Stegostoma tigrinum: one gene and its partner. The protein of the gene in region 2 interacts with the protein of the main gene of each other region in a pairwise test. Links are inferred from orthologs where the notes say so. Each region holds a gene or a part of one and is shown on either strand. Other genes may lie near its edges. The genes, in order: aggf1 and mab21l3.

Region 1 (3,930 bases), on a different chromosome or scaffold from region 2:
GGCAGCATCCTGGTAAACCTCCTCTGAACCCTCTCCAAAGCATCCACATCTTTCCTATAATAGGGCGCCCAGAACTGGACGCAGTATTCCAAGTGCGGTCTAACCAAAGTTTTATAGAGCTGCAACAAGATCTCACGACTCTTAAACTCAATCCCCCTGTTAATGAAAGCCAAAACACCATATGCTTTCTTAACAACCCTGTCCACTTGGGTGGCCATTTTAAGGGATCTATGTATCTGCACACCAAGATCCCTCTGTTCCTCCACGCTGCCAAGAATCCTATCCTTAATCCTGTACTCAGCTTTCAAATTCGACCTTCCAAAATGCATCACCTCGCATTTATCCAGGTTGAACTCCATCTGCCACCTCTCAGCCCATCTCTGCATCCTGTCAATGTCCTGCTGCAGCCTACAACAGCCCTCTACACTGTCAACGACACCTCCGACCTTTGTGTCGTCTGCTTTGTAATGTATATTAACAACCAGGACTTGGGCATTTCAAATTACACAAAGTGACAAAATGTGGAAATGAAACAAACAATAAAGGGCACAGTGACAAACTTCAGAAGGACATGGACAAATTGGCATACGGAATTTAATGCAGAGAGGTGTGAGTAGATTCAATTTAAGAAGAATGAACATAAACCTATGCAAAGAAATAGGACAATTATAAGAGGGTAAACGAATAGATAAACTTGTACAACATTGTTAAATATGGTAGGGAAGTGTTACAGCTTAAGAAATTTTTGGTTTCATTTCTTGAAGCATAATTACAAAAAGAAAGCATTCATACTGTATAAAATTCTGGTAGCTCTAAGCTAAAGCAGTTTGCAAATTCTGTGCACCATCCTTCAGGAAGAATTAAAAGGTTTCAGAAATGATGCTGAAAAGACTTACTAAAATAGCACCGGGAAAAAGAACTTCAATTAAAGTGGAGACATTTGTACAGGGTAGGGTTATTCTCTGCAGAGTATAGGCTAAGAAGGATTTGACAGATATTCAAAAATCGTGAACAATTTTGATAACAGTAAATAAGGAGAGCAATTCCGGGTAAGTGGTGGAAAGCACACAAATTTGAGGGAATTAGTAAAAGAATCAAAGGCAGTAAGAGAAGGCACTGCTATTAAGAGTTTAAAACAGATTTCAATGTAAACATTCAAAAGATACTTGGTTAAGTGTTCAAAAGGTTAAAGAAAAAGGCTGGGCGAATGAGATTAATTAGATAACTTGACCAAAAGACAGTGTAGGCATGATTGGTAAAATGCCCTCCATCTGTTTTTTAATCACTCTATGATAGGAAACAGAAAAATTGATAAAGTTATTCTGTGTGATACATGACAAGTGGATTTTTATCAGAAAATTGCTGAATAAAAGGATCAATACTCTCGGACATGGCATGGATTTAAAATCCTACAATAATTTAAGAAATAATTAGAGCCCACAATAGAAGACAGACGAACCGAGATGTACTGAGAAGCCTCTTCTATCTGCATGTATCTTGCATTGTTATTGTGCAATGAGTACAATGATGGTGACGACAAAACCACTGCATAAGAAAATTAATCAATATTAACAAACTTACACCAAACACATGGTACTTTTGATACAAGTCTAACATAGAAATCTTCGTAATGCGGGAGGCAATCACGTAGATCCCATCAAAAACTGGACTGTTGCAACGAAATCCAGAAATCAAATATAATTGCCTCCATAGCATGTGGCTTTGTTTTTAAAATAGGAGTTAAATTCTCCTGTCTGATATAAAAACGCTTTATCAGATGGATGACTTTGCAAGACCCAGTGAAGGCATTATAATACGAGCTTTGTAAAGGATGAGTGTCATTTTCACATAGAAACTGTTCATTTGGGCTTTGAGATATAGACCATAGAAATTTTCTTTACTGTTAGGTAATAGCCTTGGTTCATCGACAGTGCTAACAAAAGGCACTTGCAAAGAAAATACTGCTCATTTTAGTTTCTGTCTGGGCCTCTAAGCACCTGAATTCATTATAGCTGTAGTCCAAAAATGAACAAATTAGTAAACTCCAGACAAGAGGTGACAGCTACTACTCTTGACATCAAGGCAACATTTAAAAAAGTATCACATCAGAAAACTCTATCAAAATTGGAGATAATGTGATTTATAGGGGACAAAAAAAAAGACTGTTTGTTTTAGTCATACCAAGCACTAATGCTTGTTGTTGTAGGAGATCAGTCATCTCAGCTCCAGAACTTCTCTGCAGGAGTTCCTCAACGCAGCGTCCTAGGCCCAACATCTTCGCCTGCTCCATCAATTACCTTCCCTCCATCAGATCAGAAATGGGAACATTTGATGTGTGCACAATGTTCAGCACCATTCATGACTTGTCAGATATTAAGCACATTCAGCAAGACGTGGACATCATCTAGTCTTAGGCTTGTAACTGCTGAGTAACATCTGTGCCACTGTGTGACTATCTCCAACAAGAAAGAATCTGAACTTTACTCTTTGATGTTTCATAAAATTACCACCACTGGATCCTCACTATTAACATCTTGGGGGCTGCCAATGATCAGAAACTGGACTGGAATCGCCACATAAAAATGTGGCTTTTTGGCCTGGGTGCCTGTTACCATAGGTGTGTGACAAATCTTGGTGCTGAGCCTACTGCTTTTCATCGTTTATTTAAATACTTTGGATGTGAATACAGGAGGTATGGTTAGTAACTTTACAGACGATACCAAATTTGGTGGCATAGCAGATAGTGAAGATTAGCTCAGAGTACAATGGAACCTTGGTCAGATGGACCAATGAGCAGTAGATGGAGCTGAATTAAAATAAATGTGAGGTGTGACAACCTGAAAAGGCTAATCGGGGCAGGATGTATACACTTATTGGTAGGGGCCTGGGGAGTGTTTCTAGGGGTGTAGGTGCATAGTTCCTTGAAAGTGGAATCACAGGCAGGGTGGTAAAGGTGGTGTTTGGTACGTTTGCCTTCCTTGGCCAGTGCACTGAGTATAAAACTTGGGATGTCATGTTTGGTCTGTACATGACATTGGTTAGGCCACTTTTAGAATACTGCATTCAATTCTGGTCTTGCTGCAATTGGAAAGAAATTGTGAAACTTGAAAGGGTTCAGAAAAGATTTACAAGGATATTGCCAGGATTGGTGGATTTTAGCTAAAGGGAGAAGCTGAATAGGCTGTAGCATTTTTCCCTGGAACACTGGAGGCTCACAGGTGACCTTAGAGAAGTTTACAAAATCACAAGGTGCATGGACAGGGTGAATAGCCTTTTCCCAAGGTAGGTAAATCCAAAGCTAAACTGCATAGGTTTAAGGTGGGAGGGAGAAAATTTAAAAGGGTCCTGAGGGGCAACATTTTCATGCAGAAGATGCTGCGTGTTTGGAATGAACTACTAGAGGAAGTGGTGGCGGCTGGTACAATTACAACATTTAAAAAGTATCTGGATCGGAACACGATCAGAGAGGGTTTAGAGGGACATGGGCCAAATGTTGGCAAATGGGACTAGATCAGTTTAGGTTATCTGATCGGCATGAATGAGTTGGACGAAAGTGTCTGTTTCCATTCCATATAACTCTATAAGAACAGGTCAGGTCAGAAGTCATGAATTCCGCAATGGGTAAATCATCTCCTGCCTCCCAATACCATCCACCTTCTACAAGGGACAAATAAGAAGTGTAGTGGAATACTCTCCACTGGCCTGAACAGGTGCAGCTCCAACAACTCCCCGAAGTTTGACACCATCCAGGTCAATGTTGACCACTTGACTGGGATCCCAGCCCACATCTTCAACATTTAATCCCTTCACCGCCACGCATGGCAATGGTGTTCACCATCTATAAGTTGAACTGTAGTAACTCACCAACCTCCTTAACCACCTTTGCCACTAAGGAGGGCAAAGAAAACAGATCTAGGATCAATATCACCT
Region 2 (3,930 bases):
TTTGTTTCATTTGTTTGAACAGAATCCAATTAGCAAATCTTGAAGAAGCACATCTTCAGTGTTTTCTTGGTGATGCCAATATGACAAAATAAAGCACAACTCAATGACTCATATATCCAAAGAGGAAAATAAACATCTAATACTTTTCAAACATCAATTATCCATTAATGGCATGATTTATATTAGTTGCTAGAATAAATGTCAATATAGATTGTGTCAGTTGGCTGAGGTGCCAAATAAACAACATCATTAAGCATCAACCATTCCACCCCTCTAGCCCAGAAGTGTTTTTGTGAAGTTATTTTTTTACTTCACAAGTATAGTCTGCTAAATATTTACCATCTGGTTTTGCACAACAGCTAGCACTGCCTTCTCAAAAACAACATAAACTTATTGAACTGTTTATTAAACTTATTTTCTTGCTCAGAATTTAAACAATGAATGACAGTCATGCTTAGAAAAATCACATTATCTGGGTGAACAATGTCCCAGTTTACAGAATGGATCATTGGTTGAATGTCATTCCAACCTTTTATATTGAGCAGGAAAGCCCATTGGGTAATATTTTTAATCTATGTGATACTAAATAGGGCATGGGCATAGTTCCAAATTTCTAGACAGGGTGCTGCACATCACAGCTGTCCCTCCCTGGCTCTCAATGTACAATATACTATTAGGTGTGTGAGAGACATTGACTAGCATTTGTCAATAGTACTGCAAATCGATTTATACCACTTACCAGCTGGAAGATTTCATTTTGGATCAGATTCACAGTCTGAAGCTTCTGTCAATTATTATACAATATTCGATAATAGTGTGATGTTGCATGGCATAACATTTACACTTGTGGGTTTATTGAAGATGATGTTGACAATACTCCAAAGACAAGAAATGTCCTTTTTCTGCTTTGGGCAATACAGTGAAGTAATTTCAGCTCAAAGTACTACTTTCAGAAAACAGTTTATGAGCAATCTCCTAGTAGGCTAGCTTTTAATATTCAACATATTGTGGAAAGTTCAATGAGGTGTGACGTTTCAGGTTGGGTGAAGGTTCTAACTTGCATCTAACTAGTATGGAACATGATGCCAGTAAGAAACTGCACTTACAGAACAAGGGCAAATGTTAATCTTGTTTATGGAGATTGAAGCAAGCTACCAACACTTAAATAAGTGAATAATGACAGCGCACCCTACCAGTACTAAGTTATTTGATGACTGACAGCTTCTGCTTGATGTCCAGGAGTGGAACAGATGCTGTTCTTCTCTGACTCAAAAGAGCCATTTGCTAATAGAACTAGTGGTTGGCGTCAGCTGGAAGTGTATCTGGGTCTCTGCTGACTTGAAAATCAAATCTCCTCAGGGTGTGAGGCAGTGTTACTAATAATGAATTCTCCTGAACGGTAAGAGTTTACTCATAAATTATATGGCTCAGGCATTAAATAGGGATTGCCTCTGAATTGAGAGAATTTCCCTTAGGATATTATTACCCTTTAAAACCAAAAATGTCAAAGAGGGTGAATGATTTGCTGTTTGAATAGATCATACCATTTTTCTGTTCTGCCACAAGACAAACAGTATTTTTGTATTTTTTGAATGAGGTGAAGAAGATTACGTTTTAAATACTAAATATTAGTCATTAAGCATCTCAAATCTGTTGGCGCCTCTTTAGGCAAAAATTTAAATCCTATGCCATGCTAGAAAAATTGACGAGTTGATATTTAGATTTTGTGCATTCTGTGGATGAGGTTAGGAGCAGTTATTTCCACGCAATGCCTCAACACTACATAAATGGAAATTGATTGATGCTCCTACTTTAAATATAACAGTACCTAAAACAGCCATTAGCTGTTATATCTATCCTCATTCAACTCCTAGAAATAAATAATCTGTGTGCACTCTCTTGTTACAGGAGAATTCATGGAAAAAAATTAAAGGAACTGCAAAAAAGATTTATAAGAATATATAGTGCAATATTTAAAAAGTGTGCATTCCTGGATAAGCTGTTCATCTATCTAGGAAATGTGCACATTTCTGTAAGTTTAAGCTTTTGTTTAAGATATGTTTTAATTTACAAATGGCTGAATTAAGGAAACAGTAGAATGACTTGTTTCCAAAGTAAGAAAATACGTGGCTTATATTGTTAGACTGGCAATGTATAAATGGCACAAAGTAATGAGCAAGAGGTTGATGACTAATGAGAATTTCTTAATTCGAAGACCTTGTAATTATTCAAGACACATTTCCCATAATTTAACCCATTATTTGTTTTTTTTTTAAAGATATTAAAGTTAACATTTCTGTTTGGTTGAATAATCATTGCCTGTATCAAAAATACTGCAGTGTTGCAAAAAGCCATATTTTATCCAGTGAAAAATTTCTATAAGAAAACAAATTGTTGATGCATATGTCAAGCAGTTCACCAAGAAACCAATTGCTGGAAAGATTACAGCATGTAGACAGTAGGGGGCAAGTCAGTTATGAGAACTATTTAAAAATTGTGGAAAAAAAAGTTTTGTAAAATATATCAAATTGTTGAATTCTGAATAGGAAGTCTGGAGGCTAATTTGTGTCATATAATTGTTTTGGAGTGAATATCGCATTATATGAAGAACATATTAATGCATTTATGCCAATATTATAGAACCCATGTTTAATATTCTTCAAGACAGTTTTCCATTTCTTTATTTAGGCTGGTTGACTAAACTTCTATTTAATCCTACTTCTTATGAATTAACAATAGTTCATGCTTAAAATATTTATCTATTTTTATTAACCTGTTTTAACTTCATGGGATTTATATTTTTGTTTTCATTTTACTTACAAAGAGCTTTTAATTGTGACTAGAAATAATAAAATGGTCAATGTCTTTATCCTCAGAATACTGTAGGATATTGACGGCAAAATAAAAGCTTTGTCAGGAATGAATCAATTGTCCAATAAATAAGAGGATAGCTTCTAACACACACAAACAAGGCAGTGATCAATAGATCAGTCATATCAACTTGCACCAAGTCTTCTTCACCAGTCTTCCCTGTGTTCATTGGCCTGCATGGGTCATGATGAAGCAAATAAAAACATTTGTGCTACATAGCACCTGTTATAACTACCAGAATTTCCAATATGCTTTGCAGTCCATGATGGACATTTGAATCATAGCCATTGTTACCATATAGGAAACTGGGTAGCCAAAATGAAGACTGCTATATCCTACATATAGCACAGTGATAATGACACGATAATCTTTTTTTCATTGTAGCTTTGCTTGTGAGATATCTTTTGGCCAGGATACACTGTTGTTCTTCAAAAATAATGCAATATCACCTATTACAGGAAATTGAGAGGGCCTTTGTCTAATATTTCAATCTAACGATGGCAATGCACTGAAATGTCAGCCTAGATTTTTGGACTCAGGTCTCGGACTGTTATTTGAAACCACAGTCTCTGACTCAGAGACAAAGTGTCATAGAGTGCTACCAACTGTGCCAGGTTTGACACAACAGCTCCGCAAAATTTAAAATTCCAATTCTTATTTTCATTTCCCTTCATTGTCTTACTGTTGTCTATCTCTGTAGTTTTCACCAGTCCCACAACATTGAGATGTTTGTACTCCTGTAATATGTACGTCTTGAGGATGCCCAATTTTTATTTTTTCAAAATATGTGGCAAGCCTTTGACTAAAAAGATAGTAACGCTTTCCTGCCTAAACCTCTCCAACAATCTGTCTCTCTTTCCTATTTCAAATCACTCCTTGAAATCTACCTTTTTGGCCTGGCATCTGTCTTATTATCTCCTCATGAGCTCTTGTGTTAAGTGAAAATGCCCTTGAAAATGTAGAAACATGTCTATTCACAGTGGCTTCAATTTTGGAAAAATTTGAGCAGGAGTGGGCCATTCAGCCATTGAGCCTGTTCCACTATTTGATATGATCATG

What was found.
Region 1: the proteins of mab21l3 (region 2) and aggf1 interact in binary tests that used the Homo sapiens proteins (3 or more experiments, as listed by UniProt). The two-hybrid records come from large-scale screens. The link is inferred for Stegostoma tigrinum from reciprocal best matches to the Homo sapiens genes MAB21L3 and AGGF1.

Annotation. Positions count from the first base shown.
Region 1 is NC_081356.1:106,671,415-106,675,344, reverse strand, and holds the start of aggf1 (angiogenic factor with G patch and FHA domains 1), read right to left. Parts: upstream 2,400-3,930; 5' UTR 2,291-2,399; coding exon 2,182-2,290; intron 1-2,181. UniProt on the Homo sapiens protein: Promotes angiogenesis and the proliferation of endothelial cells. Able to bind to endothelial cells and promote cell proliferation, suggesting that it may act in an autocrine fashion.
Region 2 is NC_081365.1:40,417,733-40,421,662, reverse strand, and holds the start of mab21l3 (protein mab-21-like 3), read left to right. Parts: upstream 1-1,186; 5' UTR 1,187-1,399; intron 1,400-3,930.